Lonchura striata: one gene and its partners. The protein of the gene in region 2 interacts with the protein of the main gene of each other region in a pairwise test. Links are inferred from orthologs where the notes say so. Each region holds a gene or a part of one and is shown on either strand. Other genes may lie near its edges. The genes, in order: MGAT5B, RBPMS and QKI.

The links.
Region 1: the proteins of RBPMS (region 2) and MGAT5B interact in a two-hybrid assay, tested with the Homo sapiens proteins (2 studies listed by BioGRID and IntAct). The two-hybrid records come from large-scale screens. The link is inferred for Lonchura striata from reciprocal best matches to the Homo sapiens genes RBPMS and MGAT5B.
Region 3: the proteins of RBPMS (region 2) and QKI interact in binary tests that used the Homo sapiens proteins (3 or more experiments, as listed by UniProt). The link is inferred for Lonchura striata from reciprocal best matches to the Homo sapiens genes RBPMS and QKI.

The regions. Positions count from the first base shown.
Region 1 is NC_134621.1:3,824,362-3,832,065, forward strand, and holds the start of MGAT5B (alpha-1,6-mannosylglycoprotein 6-beta-N-acetylglucosaminyltransferase B), read right to left. Parts: upstream 4,273-7,704; 5' UTR 4,206-4,272; coding exon 4,138-4,205; intron 1-4,137. UniProt on the Homo sapiens protein: Glycosyltransferase that acts on alpha-linked mannose of N-glycans and O-mannosyl glycans.
Region 2 is NC_134606.1:72,058,534-72,066,237, reverse strand, and holds the start of RBPMS (RNA-binding protein with multiple splicing), read right to left. Parts: upstream 4,716-7,704; 5' UTR 4,648-4,715; coding exon 4,585-4,647; intron 1-4,584. Other genes in the region: DCTN6 (dynactin subunit 6), read right to left, coding at 6,690-6,788, 6,874-7,016, 7,121-7,168, 7,362-7,450.
Region 3 is NC_134605.1:37,264,705-37,272,408, forward strand, and holds the start of QKI (KH domain-containing RNA-binding protein QKI), read left to right. Parts: upstream 1-2,606; 5' UTR 2,607-2,713; coding exon 2,714-2,855; intron 2,856-3,446; exon of another isoform or gene 3,447-5,282; coding exon of another isoform or gene 5,283-5,310; intron 5,311-7,704. UniProt on the Homo sapiens protein: RNA reader protein, which recognizes and binds specific RNAs, thereby regulating RNA metabolic processes, such as pre-mRNA splicing, circular RNA (circRNA) formation, mRNA export, mRNA stability and/or translation.

The DNA of each region.
Region 1 (7,704 bases), on a different chromosome or scaffold from region 2:
ATCTGCTACAAAACCCACCCAAGGCCCCATCCTGGTACCCCCTCCCCCAAGGGGCACTTTAACAAAGCATCACCTGAATAAATACTCGGCCCTGATCCTGCTCTCACACCTCCTATTGACAATATCTTCATCATTATGCAAGACCTTGTTGACGCTTTTTAATCTTCATAATTATAGTCTGGCAAGGAGGGATCGTTAAGCACTGAGCAGAAAGAAAAAGGGGAAGGGAAGAAAAAAGATACAAAGGTGATCTGTGCTCTACCATCTCCCTAGGAAACAAAACCTTTTTCATTTTGACTGGATTACAGAGAGAGTAGGGGAGATGCAAGATGCTTTTTTCCTAAAAAAAAAAGAATAATAAAAAAAAAGATGAATTGGAGCCTTACTGGAATTGCTGTCTTTGGGGGATCAGTGGATCCAGCCCAGAGCAGTGCTCCAGGGAGCAGGGATGGTGCAGGGCTGGACTCTCAGCCTGAGAACCCCAACTCCCTTACTTTTGCTGATGTTCTCCAGGTGAATAAAAGTGCCTGGCCCAGACTCACCTGAGTGGAAACTCCTTATACAGAAAATAAATTTACCACAAAGTAGGTAAAACATAACAGATCCCAGATGGTCCTCTCTCCCAAAATCAAACCTAACTCCCTGAAGACTCTGGAGTTCCAAGGACCAAATAACACCTATCCTGCATACTGGCTTTGCCTGTCATCCCATGTCATGTTTAATTAATCACTCGGACACAGTTCTGGTGTCAAGTCCCTCTCCACATCCTCCCCAAACTGAAATGTTCATAGTTCTGGGCTCTGGCTTGGTGCCCAAAAGAAAAAAAAAAGTGAAATTCCTCAAGTCTTAAATGAAAATTGGAAGTGATGCCCCAGTCATGGAGGATTTTGGCCCGTGGAACTGAAAGCTGGATGTGACCAGGAGGGTCTGAGTGCTGAGCTGGCATGTGGTGGGGGGAGGAAGGCCAGCAGCACCCAGCAGGATGGGACTGTGACACTGGGAATGTGACACTGGGACTGTGCCCATGGTGTCACATCACCCAGCTGGGACCCACAGGGAGAATCCCACCCAGGTGAGGGGGGGAAACCAAGAGCCAGGTAACATCTTTTATCAGACAAATCTTCAACTCCCAAAAGCTGAGCCACCATTCCTACCAGCAGAGGTCATGTTAATGAACGACTCCTCTCCTTAAATCCCTTTTTGCTTAGAGCCCCACAGGGCTGTGGTGCTGTCAGACCGGTGCTGAGCCACGGGCACTGTGATCCATGCAGGGACCAGAGTGAACTCTCACTGACCTCTGTTACATCCCACAGAAAGCCTGGCTTTGGCTCCCAGCTGGCAAACACACCCACAGAGCCCAGAGCTGGGCGAGCTGGAGCAGGGCTCCTCGGTGAATTCTTGCCTGCATCCAGCACCACGGCAAGCGAGACACTCTTTGCTGCTGGGATGAAGTCAGAGCCGCCCTTGGACATTCCTGTGCTTTTCCAGACCGATCTGCTCCCTCTCTGCAGCCTCCCTCCCAGCTCAGGGCCCTGCATTGCTTTGCTCAGCGTGTCTGGAGGGTGGTTAATGAAATGTTTTGGTGCACAGGATCAGGTTTCCTGTGTGCTGTTTGCTGATGGCACCTCACCTCTGATGGCAGCAATCCACATCAGGCAGGGATCGCACCACGGGCAGCGAGGCTTTGCCCAGCCAGCAGCAGGGGAGGATTTACAGGACCCAGCCTGAGTGCCAGGACCTTCTCCCACTGCTGGAGTTATCCCTGACCCACAGCAGCCGAGGATGCGGGGTGCTGATGCTGGGGGAGAAGAGGTGATTTGCACTGGGTTAAGGCTGGAGCTGGGCAGTGCCAGCACTCACCCACGCAGGGCTGGCAGCAAGGTGACACAGGACTGTGGCATGGGGGGTCACATGCAGCATGACAGCAGCAGGGAGGAGGTGCAGAGGTCCTGGACACTGTGGGACAGTAAGGAAAGGGTCTTGGGAATTCCTCCTCTTGCAGAGAGAGCCTGGCTGTTAACAACGAGGTAACCCTGCTGGTTCCAGTGGCACCAATACTGGTCTGGACTGGTTGGACAGCAGAAGCCAGCCCAGGGCACACGGCCAGGACAGTGCAAGTTCTCCACCTGGACTCCAGAGACCATCCAGCCATCACAAACCCCTCATCCACACACATCCCCATCCCTAATGGGAGTTTGTGATCACCCTGTGCTCTCCCACCCTGACTCCAGGTCACTGCTGGACACGGGGCTCCCCTGCCTCAGGGGTGATGCCCAGGGCACAGGGATGCTCCAGCCAGTCGCTTCCTCACTGTGCAATTCAAAGCCAGTGAAGAGAGCAAACAGCCAGGCAAAGAGCATTCCCCGGGTGAGTGCGCCCTTCTCGCGTCCCTCGCATCACTCCCTGCTCCACTCCTGAGCTCTGGGAGCCCTCACACCTCTGCCAGCGCTTTGTGGCATCCCCTCGGCCAAGTTCCCCAGCCGCAGGCAGCAGAAATCGCTCCAGGCAAGCAGAGGCAAGCAGCTCCCGAGGAGAGGCAGACAAGCTGCCCACACCTGAGAGCGAGCGAGCGGCGCAAACCCAGCCGGGGGTAGCCCGGGCTAAGCAAAAAGGCAGCGAGCAGATCCCTGCGGTGACCCCAGAGCTCCAAACACAGCGAGGAGCGCTGGAAACCGCTGGGCTGGGCTCGCCCCACCTTGAGCTCCGTCCCCCGGCACGTTCGCCTCTATCTCTAAGGGGTTTTGGTCCCTCTCCCCACGGAAAAACCAGGTAACTTCCAACATCTCCCGTGTGTCTCAAGCTCGGGAGCAACAGAAGCTCATCTCCAGTAAATCAAGGAAGCCGGAGAGCAGGGGCTGGAGAGGGAAGGGAATGTATGGAAGCAAAAATGGGGAGTTACAGCAAGGGGAAAAAGCAATGGGTGGGTACGGGTGTGCTGGAGCCGGAGGGGTTCAGGTTTGGACATCCACCCCAGCCCCACTGCCAGCTCAAGGTGGGTTTCGAAATCCCCAGCTGCACCAGCAGGCTTAAACCAGAGGAACCTAATTCCCCCGGAGTACCAACATCTCCTAGAACCATTCTCAAAAAATCCAGCGGCGAGCAGCCCGGCGATAACCCCAGAGACACCTCCGGCGGCGGGGCGAACCGGGAGCTGGCAGGCAGCGGGAGCTGCAGGAGCCGCACGCTGCCCCGCGGGCAGACCTGCCTGGATCCCTGTCCGGATCCCTGCTCGGATCCCTGCCTGGATCCCTGTCCGGATCCCTGCCTGGATCCCTGCTCGGATCTCTGCCCGGAACCCTGCTCGGATCCCTGCTCGGATCCCTGCCTGGATCCCTGCCTGGATCCCTGCTCGGATCCCTGCCCGGATCCCTGCCCGCATCCTGCCCGGATTGCTGTCCATATCGCTGCCCGGATCCCTGCCCAGTCCCAGACCAGTCCCTGTCCGGATCCCTGTCCGGATCCCTGCTCGGATCCCTGCCCGGTCCCTGCCCGGTCCCTGCCCTCATCCCTGCCCGGTCTCTGCCCGAATCCCCGCCCTCATCCCTGCCGGGATCTCTGCCCGGTCCCTGCCCGGTCCCTGTGCGGTCCCTGCCCAGTCCCTGCCCGGATCTCTGCCTGCATCCCTGCCGGGATCTCTGCCCGGTCCCTGCCCTCATCCCTGCCCGGTCCCTGCCCGGATCCCTGCCCAGTCCCTGCCCGGTCCCTGCCCAGTCCCTGCCCGGTCCCTGCCCTCATCCCTGCCCGTTCCCTGCCCGGTCCCTGCCCTCATCCCTGCCCGGTCCCTGCCCGGTCCCTGCCCGGATCCCTGCCCAGTCCCAGACCGGTCCCTGTCCGGATCCCTGCCCGGTCCCTGCCCAGTCCCTGCCCAGTCCCTGCCCGCATCCCTGCCCGTTCCCTGCCCGGTCCCTGCCCTCATCCCTGCCCGGTCCCTGCCCGGTCCCTGCCCAGTCCCTGCCCAGTCCCTGCCCGCATCCCTGCCCGGTCCCAGCCCGGTCCCAGCCCGGCTCGCTGCCATGCCCATCCGGGCTCCATCCGCACACCCCACACCGCACACGGAGCCCGAGCCCGGCCAGCCGCAGCCCCCGCCCGCAGCAGCCGGGCGAGGCGGCGGCGGCCAGAAGCGAGCACCAACTTTACCTAAAGGGTCTCAAGGTGACGAGGCATCTTCTGACCATTATCTTGCCATCCGCGTTGACAGTGATCATCGTTCGAAGTTGCGGGCAGGGGGCGGCCCCGCACCGCCCCAGCGGCAGCGAGGGCGGCGGCGAGCGGGGCTCGGCGGGCGGGGCGCGGGGCTGCGCGGGGCTCCGGGGGGACGCGGCCCCCCAGCCCTACCCTCGCCCCTGCCCGCTGCCGCCCCAGCCCATGGCCGGGCCCGCTCGGCTCCGCTCGGCTCCGCTCGGCTCCGCGCACCCCGCGCTGCGGCTCCGCTCCGCCCCGCGGAGCCTCCGCCGGGCTCCGCCGGGCTCCGCTTGCCATCTAGCGGCAACCCGGCCCGCAGAGGGGCGGTCGGGCAGGGGCAGGGGATGTGGGGCTGCGGCAGCCTCCCCCCGAGGTCAGGGGATGGCGTTTTGGGCAGCATCCCCGCGCAGCTGACAGCCCCGGCGTGGGCACCTCGGGAGGCAGGGATGGTCCTTTGGCGGGGCAGTCAGAGCAGAAATGCCACCGAGCGCCGTGCCCGGGTGCTGTTTGATTTGTAGGGGGTGTTTAGGAGCAGGACAAACCTCCCTAGTGGGGAAAGGCGGGTCTGGAGTCTCTCGACAGCAGCAGGATGCAGCTCTGCGGCCCCATCGCTGTTTTCTCTCTGGGTGCACGGTGACAGCCACCATGTGGCTCCCCAAAGTCCCCCCGGGTGGTGCAGGGTGCTGCCAAGAGGACCAGGGCCGTGTCCTTGGGAGGGCAAAGGGACGTGAGAGCTGAGGCAGGAGAAGCAGTGCTGAGCTCAGCAGAGGTGTTCCCGGCTCTCCTGTGGAAGGTGACAAGCACAAAAAGCCTCCCAAAAGTTGGGACTTAAAGGAGCCAAGTGTGCACAGAGCCCAGAGACGCCCCATTTCCAGCCCCAGCCAGGATGGGTGCACCCCACTGGGGGTGAGGGAAGGATGCAGCACCCTGGGGTGAGCACAGGACAACATTGTCCCCCCCCGGCCAGGCTACAGGACAGGGCCAGGCTGTGGTCTGGGGGCTGTGGTGCCAGCAGAGCCCCCTCATGCCACACTGCCCTCATGGCTGGCTGTCCCTCTTTGCTCTGGATACCACCATGGGTACCGTAAAGCACAGGGTGACACCAGGGCACAGCTGTCCCTTTGCCTTCCCCACAGTGGGATGCTCTCTTCCCATGGTTTTTCCCAGCCTTTCTCCATCCCATTTTCCTCCAGAGAGAGAAAACTCCCTCCAGCCCCACCTGCCTGGCCTGGCTTAGTGATCTGCACCTCGAGTGCTGAGCAATTCCAATGCCCTCCCAGCACCAGCCACCCACTCCTCTACAAACTGACCCTGCTTGTGCATAATCCCAGGGTTTTCCGTGGGGCTGAGGAGGTGGAAATGCTGCTGTGATACTGCATTTCCATGGCCACTCCAGATGCTCACACTGCTTCCTTCTCCCCAGTGGAAACCAGGAATGGCCTTGGTCAGCAAAGCTCCAGGGAGCATAAAGCTGCAACAGCACCAGCCACGAGTGAGCTCAGGGATAGCAGCTGGAAATTTACCCCAAACCAGATTTTTTTTCCCCCATAAAACAGCTTTTTTTTTTTTTCAAGCAGAAGTGAGAGGTAAAACCGTATTCTCCAGGACCTCTGAAACGCAGGAGGGTTTTTGTGTTCATCCACGTGTTTTGTGGGCAGGAAGGAGTCATTGCCACACCAGGGCTGGGTGGGATCCCAGCAGGATGCAGAGGGATGCACAGGCTGAGGATTTGCAGGAAGTGTGGCTCAGGAGCAGCAGCCAGCCCTGCCAAGCCAAACCCTCAGTTCATCTTGGCAAGGACACCCTTCCCTGGAGCCCATCCTGTGGGGACCTTGTGGACACAACCAGGCACGGGCAGAGCCCAGACACCAGCTGGGTGCTCAGTCCCTGCTAATTTAAGTGCAGCTGGGAGCACCTCTGGAAAAGCCACCTGGAGTTCTTCACTGCCCATTGGGCAAGGAGTGAAGTGCAGGTGCTGTGGGGATGCTGCTACCCTGATTTCCTGCCTTCTCACTCCATTCCTAGCTCCTGACAGGAATTCTCGGTGCTCACCTGAGCTATGAAACCACCTCAAAATGTGGTGCTGCCCTCCAGAGCCCGGCTCCAGCCGGCAGCAGGAGGCAGAGCCCTTCATTCCAAGAACTGCTTTCCAAATCAGCTCAGCTCTGTGGGGCTGGAAACTTTCCTAGAGCACAAAAACGCTGCATGGAGTGGGTGGTGGAGCAGCCTGGCATGTGCCAGGATCCAGATGTGCCTTCCTGAGAGCCTGGGAGGGACAGGGAACATCCCAGAGGGGACCAGAGCTGATGTGGGCTCAGTTCTGTGGGGTGGGACCCTCTGACCTCCATAAGGATAATGCCAAGGTCCTTCTGTGCATCCCACAAACTCTGGATTGTGCCAATCCAGCTCTGCCCAGCAGGAAAATCCTGGGGAGTGGTGAAGCACCACACATTAATTATTTAAGAATTAGGGGTGGGTGACACTGAGGGGAGAAGGGATGGTGTCCTCCCACTCCTCTTTCCAGAGCTGATCCTGGGCTGGAAAACACCCCCAAAGGGTTTGGATGTTTTTTGGGCAGGCAGAAGGCAGCTCAGCCATCTTGGCTTCCCCCAGGTGCCTCCTGCAGCACTGACCAGGAAATTAAAATAAAATAAAATATAAAATAAAATAAAATATAGAAATATGCTCTTGTCAATCTCCATGCAGATGCTGGCAGGGCGCTGGGTTCAGCAGGGAACAACTTCTGCAGTTCCCAGTTCCCACCGGAATCAGCCATGCAGGATCCATCACCCCAGGGATGGGAATGTGGCATTCCCCACCCCCCAGGGCCCTCATCCCTGAGGAGAAGAGCTGCAGCAGCCAGTCCTTTCCCTCTGCTGCTGCTTGAAACAAAAGCTTAATTAACTACCAGCTCACTGTCTGTTTAGAGGGATAAATCTAAAATCCAAGGATGGTAATAAAGCAGTGAATTATCTTCTTCGGCAGCTGAGAAGCAATAGCCTCAAAAATCAATATGCTGAACTTATACTGCACACACACACACACACACACACACACGCACTTTTGTTTGTTATTCCAAATTCAGCAGCAGCAGGGAATGGAGAGAACCAACTCAGCAGCCAGGTGGCCCAAAAGAAATAAGTTTGGCACCAATTAGAGCCCCTGGCCAGCCAGAGGCAGACATGCAGCATCCTCAGAGCAGGCTCCAGGCTGCTCCTCCCCTCTGCCTGTAATTGGGACAGGGCCAAAATTCCAGCTCCAACACCAGAGCATCCTCTGGGAGATGGGACTTGCCCTGCACCACTGGCCTAGTGCTCTGGTTTAGGGCAAATTTGTGAGGAAACTTCTGAATGGGGTCCCTGTATAAAGCAAATTAAGCAGCCCCTCCCTGCTACTGGTTTGGGAGACATAAACCTCCTTAGAGAGAAGTGGAAAAAACTGTTTATTTAACAAGCAAAGTGCTCACAGAGATGGAAAATGAACCCTATCAAACAATGGAACCTCTCACTGTTCTGAAGAGAT
Region 2 (7,704 bases):
TCAGTGCTGCCCCGTCCCCCAGTGGAGACATTGCCCGAATTTCTCCTGGCAGGGGCTATGGGGGGATTCACCTGGAGGATCTCCCCTTGTGTCCATGAAATTCAGTCTAAAGAAAGCAAACTTTTCCTTTCCTAGGTTAAAAATACTGGCTGTCAGACAGTTTCTCCTGAGCACGGCTGCTGCCCAGGGAATCGGCTCTCCAGACACATCCACCCTCCCAGGTGGGTTTACATCCTGAGCAGGCCGAGCATCCCTGCACGGTGTCCCCTGCCTCCCTCATCCCTGGAGCCATCCCTGGCTTCCTGCCTCTCCTCTCCCTGGGGAGCCTCAGGAAACACTAGGGACCTCCAGTGGGAGGGACTGGGGGGAGTGGGGAAAGCTGCTGCCAGTTTGCCGCATCCCTGAAATCCAAACCGTGCGCATCCCTGAAATCCAAACTGTGCGTGCCCAAGCCTGCCAGACCATTTGTCCCCAAAGCCACATGGGAGAGAGACAGATATGAAAGATCCCAAGGAAGCCTCCGAAATTCAGCCCCACAGAGGAAGGGCTTCTCTTCTTTAATGACTTTGTTTTCTTTGCAAGTTCAAACGCGGGTCGGCCAAGTTCGAATCCGTAAAATTATACAGCGGCAAGAGGAGAAGGGCTCCAAAGGATCCCCCAGCTGCATTCCAGCCCCAAAAGGGTTTTTGGGGCCCAGGGCAAGGGATGGATACGAGCTCCTGGGTGCTCCCCATCTGCATCCCGCAAATGCACACAGCCCCAGGGATGCTGGAGTAGGTCCTATATAATCAGCATCCTTTCACTGGGTAATGAGCCAGTGGGACTGGCAGAGCAAGGGAGCATCCTTGGGGATAATCCCAGCAGGCTGGACAGATTTTGCCAAGGGAAAGATTCTAGACAGAAATATTACTCCTGCCCTTAAATGGAAGGGGAGCTTTGGCCCGCAGGGAGCTGCTCCAGGTTTTTTTGTGCTGAGAGATCCCAGGGATTCAGTCCCCATCCTCTACCAGAAACACTCCTAGAGCAAAATCCTTCCCTGAAGCAGGAAAAACGAAAAGCATTATCAGAAAAATTTCAGGCAGCAGGCACATATATGTTCTCCCATAGGGAAGAATTACTCCTTCAGAGAGTTGGATAAGGCACAACGCCTACTCCCAAGGATGTCATGGGACAGGGCCAGACTGACAGCTCTCGAGCAAGGATTAAAGGGCGCTGGAGCATGGGATTCCCCCAGCTTAAACCCCACAGTCTTTTTGGACATCCTGAGCTGTTTCAGTTCTGCTGTACAAACATCTTTCAGTTTCTATTTGGTGGAGCATTTCTCCGTTTCTCCTTCTCCCTTAAATTTGGGATGAAACCAAAGACTTTTTTAAAAGCCATAAGTGCCAATATTTGCTCCAGGAGGAGCTCAAAGGTGACCACCTTGACTTCCTTCCATGGGGATGGCAGCTATGGGAATGCTCCAAGTCCCTTTTCCATAGTCCTCCTGGGCTCCTGCTGCTGCACCCCACAGCTCCCAGATTTGCCAGGGTTCCTGGATCCTACATGTATTGCCTCACTTCTGATGTGTCCCCTCCTGGCTTTTGTTTTCGCTGCAGGAAGTCTGCTCTTCTGTGCTACTCTCCTCTTCCCTGGAAATCATCACCATCCCCCTTCTGGCCTGTCCCACTCACCTTTGCATCCCACCATCCCAGTCTTTTGTCCCTGAAATCCTGCATCTTGTCTTGGGCCAGTTTAAGGGATACTGGAAAGGCTCTGTGGAGGTTTGCCGAGATGGTCAGTGCTGAGGACATGCCAGGAGAGGCAAAGATCTGGGCCAGGAGGTGACCGGGGTTTCCAGAGCATGGATCAAGGATGACCCCAGCATGGAGAGGTCCGTGATGGAAGCCCTCCTCCTCCTCTTCCTCACATGAAGCCACAAGCTTACCAGGTTTGTCTCCTGCAGGTAAGGAGGTACCGGGGGGGCATTTGCTTGGCTTGGACCCCCATCACACGGCAGTGCCCGGAGGGATGCCGGGTGCCCCAGTGGCAGTGTCCTGCCAGCATGGTCCCGGTCCTCTGTCCTGTCCTGTCCCGCCCTGTCCTGCCCAAACCACCCCCGGTAAACGTTAAACAGGCCCTGGGAAGGCGGGAGGCGTCCGGGTGATTCATCCACGAGGCATTTAATCGCCTCCTTCAGCCCAGCTCCCATCCCTCGTCCGTCCTTCCGTGCGCCCCTTCCAGCGGGGCTCGCTTTAATTCTCCACCAGCCGATTATCCGCTTGACTGCCCGCCGCCGGGGAGGCACCGGATCCCGGCGGCAGCGGGAGGGCGATGGCACGGGGCTGCCACCGAGCCGTGCAACCCTCCGTGTGAGCAGGGCTTCCCCTCCCGTTCCCGGCAAAGCGGGGTGCATCCCCACCCCGCCGGGATTAGTCCAGGCATAAATAATCTCTTGGCTAATGCAGCGTCTTCCTCGGCTGGGTTTAGATTCCCGGGCTGTGTGTACGCATGCCTTCAGCCCGCAAAACTCCCCGACATAAACAAGGCTGAGGCCGAGGGATGCCGGCTTCTCCGCCCGGGAGATACGGGAGGACCGGGCTAGATCTCCGGCCTCGCCACCCGCAGCCGCTCTGCTGGAAAATCACGGTTCTCGCACGTCCGGTGAAGGACGGGAGGAGAGGAACAGCCCTTGGGGAAAAGCGAGTCCAGAGCTGCCGGGGCTGGAACGAGGAAGCGGCAGAGGAAAAGGCAGTGAGCAGCCAAGGGAGCAGATGGGGGATTGCAACAGAGCGGAGGAGCGGCGGGATCAGGCGCGGGTCACACTCGTCCCTGTCCCGCCTGGAGCTTGCTCCCAAACCCTCCGGACCCCACGCTTCAAGGAGGAAAGGAAGCAGGAGCGCGGGGGGATGCAACGCAGGGGCCACGGGGACAGATTTTATCCACTCGCTGGACACGTTCCCCCTAGAAAGCATCCCTGGGGTCCCCTCCCCATGGCACGGCTCCCCCGGGATGAGGGATCTGGCATGGGATGGGGACGAGGGCCACGAGCCGGGCTCTCCGCAGCCACTCCGCTACCAAATAAGGCCTCCGCCGAGCCTTTTACATGCCGTTCTCGCCCGGCCAAAGTGACGTGACCGCCTTCCCAAATTGTTCTGGCTCCTACGTGGGGAAGCCCCTGGCCCACAGCTCCCCTGCACGGGGGGTGTCCTTCCCGGGGGGGACAGGCGAGAGGGACGGGGAAGCCACCCGGGCGCCAGGAGCAGGCGGGAGGAGCGGGCATGAAGCGGGGGCTTTTCCCACCTGGCAGCACCCCGACTGACCTCCCCGGCATGGGGGCTGCTTCTCCCTCTTTTCTGAGGGAACAGGAGGCTGCAGGCAAGCCCTGGGAGTGGGGAGGTGAGGCACCACAGTAGCTGAGTAACCCCTTTCCCTGCGCTTGAGCAAATAGACAGCACCGGCTTCTCCAGCCTGGGCTGGAACAAGTCCTGCCAGGAAAATACCTGCCTGGCACCGGAGCAGCGCGGCTTGCAGGCAGGAGCGGGCATCGCCCTCCTCGTGTGTCCTCGGCTCTGTGCGTGTCCCTGGCACCTCCCAGCCGTCCCGTCCGGGTGTTCCCCATGTCCGGCATCACCGGGTCAGGGGGTTCCCCTGGGCGACAGTCAGCCCCCGGCCCTGCGGATCTGGCCGGGAGCAGAGCGAGGGCTGCCTTTTGCCGGCATGGGTTTGGAAAAGGCCATGCTTTTGGAAAAGGCAACAGGCCTCCATGGGTGTCACCCATGCCATGCCCACCAGAGCCGCAGCATCATCTCCCACACAGTCCGCCAGGCCACCAGTGGAAAAAAACTCCACGTTTTTTAGGAAACTTTGGGAAGTTTGAAGCCAGAACCACCTCTGGAATAAGCAAATGAAGGCAGGCGGCAGCGGGCGATGGAACTGCGGTGATTGATCCCAGCGTTGGCCACCAACCAGGGAGCCCAGCAGGGACCTGCTGGAGCAGCCCAGCCGGGTGGAGGGTAAGGAGGAGGAGATCTCCGATCGGAATCTTCCCGCTCTCACCCTGGCAAAGTCCAAATTCCCATCTCAAGGTCACGGGCAAAACCAGGAACTTTGCGGCTGGAATGAAGCAAACCAGCACTCACCGTGACGGGGTGTGGGGTTGGTCTCCCGTGGGGATGGGAGCGTTTCGGATATTTTTGGGGTGAGACTCATGGGAAAGAGATTCACAGCCGCTGGATGCACAGTACCCACGGGCACCGGCAGCACCAGGCACCGGCAGCGGGACCGGGGAGTGCCTGATTTATCCCTCACGCCCCCCGGGGCGATCCGTGTCACGCGTGGGGCTCCCCGCGCCCGCAGGTTTCCTCCGGCGAGGCGGAGGGGCGTTTGCGGCGAGCCCCAGGGGGATGCCGGCGGTGAACGGGAGAGTCCCGGGGAGCGGGGATGCGCTCCCGCCGCTCGTCCCTGTCCCCCCCGCAGCAGCCCCGGGTACCGGGAGCCCGGTGCGTGAGCACCCGCGGAGCGCAGCTCCCGGGGATCGCGGGTGGGGAGGGGGAAGCCGGAGCCCCTCCGCCCCAAATCCCCGGTGCGTGTCCCCCCCGGTACCTCTTCCTCGGGCAGGCTGGTGTCGGCGGGGCCGCCCTCCCTGTCGGCGGGGACGCTGCTCATGGTGCGACCGGCCAGGCTCCTCGTCCCGCCGGCGGCAGCCGCGTCCGGGCGGGCGGTGCTGGGGGCTGGTCCCGGCGGCGGCGGGGGGGCCGGGGCGGGGCGGCGCGGCCGGGGAGGGACGGGGCGGGGGCGCGGCGGAGCGGCGGGGACGGACCGGGCCGCGGGGGGATGGAGGAGCGCCGGGATACGGGAGGTGGGCGATGCGAACGCGGGACACAGGGCTAGGGACATGGGACACAGTGCCATGTGGGGCCACAGGACACGGAGTTGGGAATTCAGGGCAGTCCTGGAGACATAGAAGACAGTCTAGGACGTAGGGGATACCGGATACAAGGCTGGGGACATGGGGCACAAGAATGGGGAGATGGACACAGTCTCAGGGACATGGGACACGGGCTGGGGGTGTAGGACAGGGCTGGGCAGACGGGACACAGTCCTGGGGACACGGGACAAGGCTGGGGACACAGGACGCAAGGTTAAGGATACAGGACAGCACGTTGGGGACATGGTGCACAGACCCAGGGACATGAACGTGTTACGGCTGTGGGGCAGAGGAGGGGACCCGGTGCAGGGCTGGGGGCAGTGGAAGGACCAGCGGGAGCTCATCACCCCAACCGGCCCCACCTGGGGGCTCAACCCCTCCCTGCCCAGCCCGGGGACTGCACTTAGGCTTCATGCTTAGGCTAGGCTTTTGCTGAGCCTGCGCTGGACCTGGCATCGTGTACGCTTCGTTCTAGAGCTCGGTGTTGGGTCGTTCCAGCCCTGCAGAGCCCCGGGGAGGCGGCTGTGACCCTCGGGGTGGAGAGCAGCAGCTGTGTCAGCCCAGGTGCTGCCCGGGCACAGCGCTCGGCCGGAGGTGACGCCGAGGACATCCTGCCCGGGGCACAGGGCTCCTTCCCAACGGGCCCTTAAGGTCACCGCCTGCCTTTCTGCGCCTCACCAGCCGAAACAGACCTGGGGGCAGGTGCCCGTCTGTCCTGCCGGCTGCCCAGGGGACACAGCCTGGCCACCCACAGGTTTGCATCATCCCCGCGGCAGCGATTCAAAGGACAGAAGGAGGTGAAAATGAGCTGTGCCAGCTGGATTTGGGGAAGCGGGAAGTGTCTGGCTACAAGGCAGCTGAGCCTAGAGGGAATCTAGAGCACAGGGACTGATCTAGTCACCCAAATCTGCTGGAACCTCTGGCTTTTGGGGTAGATTTTCAGCAGGGGGGAAATTTAGAGATGTGTTTTATCTCTTTGTTTTCCCCATCCACAGGCATCTAGACAAAAATCTCTGCTTGGACAGTGCACGGGACAATACTCACAACCCTTATTTGGACTCAGCTCTGGGGAAGAGCTGCAGCTGCCCAGCAGCGCTGGAACCCAGGTTGGAATCACAAATCAGAAAAAGGGGAGGTTTGGATTTTTTGTAGCCATGAAGCTGGACTTGGGGAGAAAATCCAATTTGCTCCAGCAGATATTGCCCCGCTTCCCTGCCTTGAACCCCCCGACCTGAACCCAAAGCCTCATGTCCCACAGAAGTCTGGGTTTCTCTGTGTTAGCTGCTGATCCTATCCCCTCTTCCCTACAGGAATTTCTGCTGCATGGATGTCCACCTGTGTTTCCCACCCCGGGGCCCGCGTGGATCCGGGACGCGGGGCCGGGACCCCCGGGGAGCGCGGGGTCACACCGCCCCCTGCCGGCGCGACGGGGCGGCGCGGGGAGGTGGCACCGGGCTGTCCCCGGCGGTGACACCCGCCCCGACAGCGCCCGTGCGACCCGGGCACCGCACCCCGCACACTCAAAGGGCTGCGGTTCCCTCGGACAGCAGAACTGGAGGCATTTTATTCCCGAAAAAAAGCACAAACAATAGAGCTAACGCGTGAGCGACGACAGACTCGAAGCAGGTCTGAGAATCCCAGTGGAAGAAAAAGAAATGACACAAACAAGGAAGAAATGGTTTGATGGAATGAGGGATGTGGCGACCGGACTCTTCCCGGAGTGTGTAGTGCTTCCCAGGACCAAACACCCAGCTGGGCACGGGCAGCATGAGGTGAGTGCTCAGCTCTTGACAGGGGTGGACGCGGCCTTCATGGTCTTCTTCAGGTGGTGGTAGTTGGGCAGGATCTTCATCAGGAAATCCAGCTGCAGCGTCTGGGGCTGGAAAGGGAGGCAGGGGAGGTGAGGGAACAGCCAGAGGGTAGCAGGCCGAGGGGACAGGAGGTGGCAGCGTGTCCCCACGCACCTGTGGCCGCTCGGTCTGCACGCGCCGCAGGCAGTCGGCCCCGTAGATGACGGTGTTCTCCGGGATCACCTCGTAGGTGTTCACGTTGCAGCAGGCCCCGATGATGCAGCCGCTCGTCAGGATCACGTTCCTGCCAACAAACGCTGCCAGGGAGAAGGGAGAGAGAGGAGTCCCTGTGAGAGCTGTTCCCACAGCATTTATAGGAGAAGAATCTCAGCAGGGCCAAAGGCCCCAAGCTGAGAATTACCTTTGGATTCAATGACGTTGTTGTCTCCTACCTTCATCGCTTGGGAATCTACAGGTCTGTGTTAAGTAAAACTGTAAAATGCTTTGCTTATTTTCAGCAGATGAAAAACCCTGATGCCATTTTCAAACCACCACCCAGCCCTGAGCTATCTGAACCCTGACAGATCCCCAGAGATGCCTCCCCCTGGAGGGATCCAGAAGCACAGTGTGCTGGATGGTTTGTCACTGCACAGCGAGGATACAGCACCCGACCTCAAAAACATTGTTGGTGCCAATGACCATGGGCTTGGGCTCCACATCTTCGCTCTCTGGGGTTATATTTTCTGGGTACCTGCAAGAGGGAAGAACAGATTTCCACATCTGAGATCATGATGACAGTGCTCTGTGGGGCAGCTCAACTTCGTGACAGACTGAAGCCACAAATATCCCATCCAGCTGAGCTGGACTGTCAGAAATTTGAGACTGCTTAGGATTAGGATTCTTCTACTCTGTCAGCTTGAGAAGAATTCAGAAGGGGGACTTAGCATCCAGTATCTGAAGGGGGCCCGCAAGGAAGCTGGAGATGGACTCTATCAGGAACTGGAG
Region 3 (7,704 bases), on a different chromosome or scaffold from region 2:
GATACCCTTAATAAATTGGAAGGATTTGACAGCATGCTTTCTCAGGGTTAAAAAGAGCCTTCACTTACCAGTTAAAAATTAGCAAGCAAAGGAAATGTATCCTTGTCCAGACTGGTCTACAAGAAGCAAAACGATGGCAATTTCATTAAGCACGTAAAGTTGTATTTCAACCTGTCACAACCTTAAAACAAGGTTGGAATAAAGCAAATGCAATCATGTTACCAAATACAAACCACACTGTTTTGTTATCTATACACATACTGCAGTGTGCTATGGGCATGCTATTGATGAACTAAGAATCTATATTTAAAATAATGGTTTGTAACACTGTTACTCTTTGATAACAAGGGTAGTATTTTCTTACTAAAGATACAATTTTTTAAGGATAGAAGCAGTAAAACCGACTTACCTTACATAAGCTGTTAATTTCTACTAATGTAAACAAATCCCTGAAATGACATAAAAACTCCAATGTCCAAACAGAGTTCTATCTACCTTTATAGAGGGGGAATATACAATGAACACTGGACATAATGCAATAATTCAAGGCATTCTTACTGTTAAGAGAACTACACGTTCTCTACATTTTTGTCACATCTTTCAGGAAAAGCAGAGTTAACACTGCTTGACAATACCCAATGACATTGTATACCTGTCAAGATGACGTGTCTCTGTTTCTTTTTAGTTTAGGAAGCATTGTTCATTGCCATTAACCTAACATTGAAAGTATCTTCAAAAACCGTGCAGTATGTATTGAAATGCATTTGAATTTTTTACGGATTTCAAGCAATAGCTAGACTTTATACTTAGTCCTATGAAATATGACTGTTTTCAGCGAGCTACGTGAAGAATGCAGCGATTTTCATCCAGCTTCGTAACAACAGCACTGCCAAGCTACCGCGAACTGCCTCCAAGCTCTTAAGTGCTAAATACCAAGAGCACCGAGTAGCTGCGCGGGGAAGGAGGAATACGTACAAGCAACAGCGTCGCGCTGCTTTGCCTCTGCGGCTACAGTGGATGGAGCACGTGAATTTTGGTTCTGGCTGCTGGACACCGCTGCTCCCGTCACGTCTCCCATCCAAACCCGTCAAACAAGCCACGGCTGATGCCAAAACGCGGCGCTGCCCTACAGGCAACAAGGGCGGCGCGCAGCCCTGCCGGAGAGGCTCGGGCGGAAAGGAGCTCAGCGGGCCGGGATCCGGCCCGGGCTGCCGGCCGGGGCAGGCGCTGCGCACTCGGGGGAAAGGGTCGGCCCTGCCCGCCCGGGGCAGCGCCAGCGCGGACGGACCCCGAACCTCTCCGCACCCCGCCCGCCGATACCCGACGCTCCCGGGACCCCGCGGACGGGGGCTCCCGGCAGCCCCGCTTCTCCCTCCTCGCCCCGGCGAGGAGCCGGTCGGCGGCATGCTGCCGGGGCGTTCCGGCGGCTCCTCCGGGGCTCCGCGCTCCCCGCCCGGCCCCGGGACCGAGCGGGAGCCACTCCTCGCGCCGTCCGCGCCGCCCACCGCCCGCAAGCGCGGCCGCGGTCCCCGCGCACACCTGCCCCCCTCCCCGCCCCGCCGCCACGCGACACCGGGGCCGCGCGCAGCGGCGAGAGCGCGCGCGCCCCGGCGCGGCTCTCCCCGCCCCCGGGGTGCACGTGACGCGTCCCCGCCCCGGAGGTGCCGCGACGCGACTTTGTTTGGGAGAGTTCCGCGCGCGCGCGCGTGTTTCCGCGCGGCGGGGCCGGGCGGGAGCCGCACGGGAAGCCGGCTATCCCCCCGCCGCCGCCCCGGGCCCCTGGAGCGGAAGGGAGGGAAGGAGGGAGGGAGGGACAGCTGTGGCTCCGCCAAGCGGCGCTACCGCCGCCGCCGGGCAGCGCCCGCCCCGCCTCTGGTCCCGCCCCCGGCGTGTCCCACCCCCGTGGGCCCTGCCCCCTCCCCTCCTGCCGCCGCCGCCGCTGCTGCCAGCGCAGCCTGAACTGAAGCGAACTCCGGAGCGAACTGAGGAGAAGTGAGGAGGCGGCGGCGGGGCTGAGACTCAGCAGCCACAGGCGGCGGCGGCAGCAGCGGCAGCAGCAGCAGCAGCGGCGGCGGGAGGGCGGGCGGGCGGGAGGCGGAGAGGAGGAGGAGGACACACGCCAGGCGCAGCGCGGCGGCAACAACAGCAGCAGCGGCGGCAACAGCGGGGAGACACCGGCGGCGGCTCCTCGGAAGCGGCAGCCGCGCCAGCAGCGCCCGCCCGCCCCGCGCGTCCCCTCCCTCCCTCCCCCGCCGCGGAGACAGGGGGCAGCGCCGAGAGGAGAACCGGGCTCGGCGTGTGTGTGCGCGGGAGGAGGAGGAGGAGGAGGGGGGACACACCGAGGACTGCGCCGGCCGAGGGCGCACGGAGCAGGGGAGCGGCGGCGGCACCGAGAGGCGGCGGCGGCGGGTTCTTGTGCCCGGAGAGGAGGGCGCAGCCCGCACGGGGGTTTCTACCGAGTTTCCTTTTTTTTTTTTTTTTTTTTTTTTTTTTTTCCCTTCTCGGTCCCTGGGACTCAGCGGCGGGTCTGCGTTTGTCTCCGGATTTGAATCCTCCTCCTTCTCCTCCTTCCTCGGGGAAGCTCCCCTCCCCGCCCCCTCCCCTCCCCCACCGCCTCCCTGCCCGCCCGGATCCAGCCGGGCGCCCCGTGCCGCGGTCGCGTTGCTCGGCAGAGCTGCTGCGGGCGCTCGCCGTCTCTGCGCGGGCTTGGAATATGGTTGGGGAAATGGAAACCAAGGAGAAGCCGAAGCCGAGCCCCGATTACCTGATGCAGCTGATGAACGACAAGAAGCTGATGAGCAGCCTCCCCAACTTCTGCGGGATCTTCAACCACCTCGAGAGGCTGCTGGACGAAGGTAAAAGCCCTCGCCCGGCCGCCGCCTCCCCCGCCCCGCCGCCTTGCCCTGCCTCCCCCGGCCCGGGGATCCCGCTCGGCCCCCCGCCCCGGCCCGGCCGGGCGGCGGGGACGGCCGGGGCCTGTTCCGCTCTCCCCGCTGCTCCCCGCACGCTCCCGGCCCCGGCTGGGGAGCCGAAAACAAAGGGGAAGTGCGGGCTCTCCCCGCCCTGGCCGCCGCCGCGCGGTGCCGGGGGACTCGGGGAGCGAGTGGGAGGGGAGAGGCAGCCCCGGCCGCGCGGGTCCCCGATCCCCCAGGAGCGCTTTTCCCCTTATTTTTCCTTTTTTTTCTTTTTACCCTTTTCCTCACTATCCCCTTAAACCGGGGGAAGGGTAACTACGGCGCGGAGGGGAGGGAGCGAGGAGAGGAGCTCAGGAATGCGCTCTGGGGGAAGGCAGGGAGGAGGGGAAAGGCTGGCTGGCGGCTGGCGCTCCCCTCCCTGCATCCCTCCCTCCCGCGGCGGCGGGGGACACTGGGGTCCTGCCGGCGCCCTCGGAGCGCTCCGCCGCCCGGCCCCGGGGCCCCCGCCGGGGGGGCGGCGGGTGTTCGGTTTCGAGATTTGGCTGTTCTGGAAGCTGCTTGGACTTGAATGACTAAGGCGGAGGGGGGCTGAGCTCTTTCTTCGGCTCCAGATCTACCCCACCCCGAACTGGCCGCAAACTAATTACGATTTTCCTATATCGCAAGGGAAGCGAGTAAATTCTTCTCTCGGCTATCCTTACCTTTTAAAGAAACTGAACTTGACAGACTCCTTCCTACGTGTGACTTTAGTGAAGAGGGAGAAACAAAAAGGATTACGAAATTGCCTGGTCTGCTCCTGCCAAACGTCCACCCCAGCCTCGCACCCGCTCCTGGCACGGGGCGAGGCCCCCCCTATGCCCCCAGTTTTTCCCTAATAACTTTGTTTGGGGTTAAGATTTCACAAATAAATAGTCACGCTTTAGAAATGAATAAGAAAAGTACGAGCTGGGAACTTCCTGTGTCCCACACGTTTTCCCACTACAGTAACAGACCCACTGTGTATCAAAAATCAGGTGAAACACTTGTTCGTAGTATTTTAAATTCACCTTGTACTCGAGTTCACGGGTTTGTTTTTTTTTGTCGAAGGCATTTCCTTTCCTATGACTTTAAATCTAGGCTTTCTGATGACTTCGACCTGCGTATAATAACTATTTAGTGCATTACAGCAGACCTGTTTGTTTAATCGTATTTGATAGCTTTGTAGAATATGATATGGCCATAAATAATTTATACAGTTTCAACTTGTAGGGATTCTTAGTATGAAGTACTGATTTTCGAGATTTTGAGTTAGGGTTCTTGTTTGCGGATGTATTCATTTTCGCTAAAAGAAGTTTGGGAAGTTGTTGACCTCGGAAGATGAAAGAACTGGTTATATTTGGTAGAACAACTCCCCGCCCTCTGCCAAGACTGCAAAAATGAGATAGCGACTGTAGTGCGACACAAAAATAGCGTGTCGAGAAAATGCTACCTTCTGAAATAAATGATAGAGGAATGTAAAGGAACCCAAAAAAACGATGAAGAACACTCTAATACGGATTGTGGGAAGCATTAAAATGGGAGAGTCTATTTTTATTTTCAAGATACTTGGAGGAGTTTGATTTTATATTGGATCAAATGTGGATGTGAAGAGCAAAACTATTTTAGAACTTACGCTCTTGGTCACCACAGTGAACAACCTCTTCAGAATAGTTAGATTGACAATAAACATCAAGAAGAAACTTGACCGAGAAGACTCCTTTATAGCACAAATGAGCCTTCCAGAGGTTTGGTAATGGATTTTTAAATTGTGAATCTTTTCAACTTAATGTATTTGACCAGAGGAGGCCTGAAGCTGTTTTTTTATTTTCAGAGAACAAAAGGAAGAAAAACATTTCCCGACACAAAAAAAAAAAAAACCACTGAAAAAAGGAATTCCAGAAATACTTATATCTTGTTATATATTTTGAAATACGGAAAACTCTGGAAGTCTGTTTGCAAAGTATTGGAGTTCCAAAATGAGAGCTTTTGTGTCTCTTGCTGACAAAGTTTAAGGACTGTGTTGGAACTGTTCTTCACTCTCTTCTTCTAAAGAAAAGCAAATAAAATATAATCTGTGATCCTAAATGGTCTCTGGAAGAAGCCTGCTATCCCTTTAAGCTTTTCTGCTTTTCCTGTTTACGTTGGCAAATGGGTGGAAGTATTGTGGAGGCAGAAAACTTTTTGGAATGTTGAAAAAAAAGTTTCATGCAAATCTAGTAAATTACTTCAAGACTTCAGAATTTGAACACTAAGGGGCGCCAGTTATTTTTTTTTCTGAGGCGTGAGTCCGCGAGCACCACTATTGACTCGGGCAGTAAAATTATCAAATCTGGTAGAAGACGCCAAAGAATGACAAAATACTTGTGGATTTGTGCAGGTATCTGTATTTGCATGTACCTTGACGTATTGTATACTTACAGGCAGTATTACATAGGTGGAATAGGCAGTAGCAGTGAACAGTTGAGAAGTTGGAACAAGTGTTTCTCTGTAGAACACCTATCCTGGCTACCAGTGGGGGCTGTGTTAAATATCTTGAACTGCATGCTCCACTGACATCCTCCAGCAGAAGGGTTTAGTAATAGTGAACTACAGGTTTGCTGGAAAAGTCTGCAGGATTTCATGTGCTTACTGGAAAGTGTATTATTTCAAGGTTTCATCAGTTGTTTCCTGGCACCCTTGAGAATACCAAGTATTTGGGGCAAGTGCATGTATATATAGGTATATATAATCTAAAAATAAAGTTACAGGGTTCACATTCCCTCTTTGCCCCCTCCACCCTGTCATTTGATTTGCTGCTTCTAGTTTGTTGTTGTGTGCTTTAGGTAGGTGTTTGTTTTTGGGTTTTTTTTAGTTATAATACAACTATTTTCCTAAAGGTTTTGTTTATGCTTGAGAAGAAAATATTATGATCAGCCATTGTCTTTTATTTTGTGTGCTGATCAAAATAAAGAAATAAAGTCACAAGCCTAAGAATTCAAACAAATAAAAGTTAGGATTGCCTTCCCTAATGGAATGCTAGGGTAGTTTTTTTATTATTACTTATTTATTGTTCCATGATACTTATTTACATGTTACACGTTTTATATTTAAAAACAGAACTCAAATGGGCTTTTGCTGTGGTTACGTCTTGTAATTGTATGCAGCAAGAGATAGAAAGAGACCTGTGGTTTTAGGTGAATAGTACATCCAATCTGGTTAAGTTACAGATTTTTGGGTCCATTGCTATGCTGCATGTATTATCGAAAGCATGTTTTCCTTTCTGAACTCTATCTGACTTTTTGATCTCAGAAAATTTTAGTGCTTGATAGATGATCTCTGTCTTGAAGACTACCTTAAATGTAAGAAATGCATTGAGGAAACATTTTTTTTTTTTAAGAACTACTTTCATAAAATGTGAAAGTTGCTGTTTTGTTTAGGTTACATTTATTTTTCCATATGTGTGCTTTTAACTTGTTATGTGTAAATAAGCCTTCTGTGGATTAACAAGGATGTTTAAAGAGCACATCATAATAACTAGGAAGCTGAATTGTTTTTATCAGACTGGTGCAAACCTGTGGGAAGAGAGGGCTTTTCCTGAATGTGGAATAGGCTGTATTTCCTGTAATTGTTTGCTCCATCAAATGTGACCTGTTTTTTTTTTTTTTTAATTTTTTTTTTTTTGCTTAAGTTTTTGAGATACTAACTTTTATGATGCTAACCTGGATTTTCTTTTCTGACAACTTACATATTTTAATGCTCCCTGTCGTGAACAGTGAAAAGAGCAGTACCTGTTTTCTTGCACTGTTTTTAAAAACTGAATTGGACATTTCAAACACTTCAGTAGCATGTTGACAGATTTAAATTAATGAGGTACTTCAGTTGTATTCTTTCATCAGACTATGAACAAATGTGCCTGAACTATTAACTGAGATCTGAGTAGTCTAATTTATAAATTTACATTTTGTTTTCTTGAACCTGTAAGTGCACAGACTCTTGCACCTGATCAGAATGTACACAGATCAGACCTGTGGTCTGAACTGTTTTCAAAAAGAGATTGAAGAGGACTTTATCAGAAATTAATTTTTTCTTAGTAACCTATCCCTGAAAAACTTAGTCTTTCCTTCAAAACTGTGTTGAAGGTGACTTAAATGCATGTCTGCCTTTAAATGTAAATTTAACCATGCATCTGGCTATTGGAGATAAATCTAATTTTGTGTCAAATAGGCTTCCTCTTTCTGTCTACCAAGTTTAACAAAGCTAGCGTAATAACATCCAGGTAGGCAATATGAGGATAAATTTTTGGTGAATGTTACTCTCTCTGTTTAGTTTTCTCATCGAGAAAAGTGCACGTGAAATTGGGGAGCTTAGTGCCCAGGAGTGCAGCTTTTGCATCGGTCTGGTTGTACTAAGCAAAACATGTGCATGAGAAGTAGGGCTGAAGAACTATGTTCCCTCTGAAGTTATGTAGTTACTTTTGTACATAACCGTATTATTTGTGATTATGTACATGTAGCCTGTGCTTAGCTAGGATTTTGCTGATTTTTCAGATTTGATGGAGGGGCACTGGCCACGTTAGCCTGTCAGATTTTTCACTTGTATCAGATCTTGCAATGGACCCCATTAATTCATTAAAAAATATGCTTCTTAATGCAATATTCAGGGATGAGTGTTCTTTGGGATAAAGGCCTTACAAAAGGTGTTTGCCCAGAGCGTCTCAGACTAATTTTTAAACTTGGTGTATTAATGTTAAAATTGTCAAAGTAGTGTGCCACAAGAGCATTGAGTATTGTTT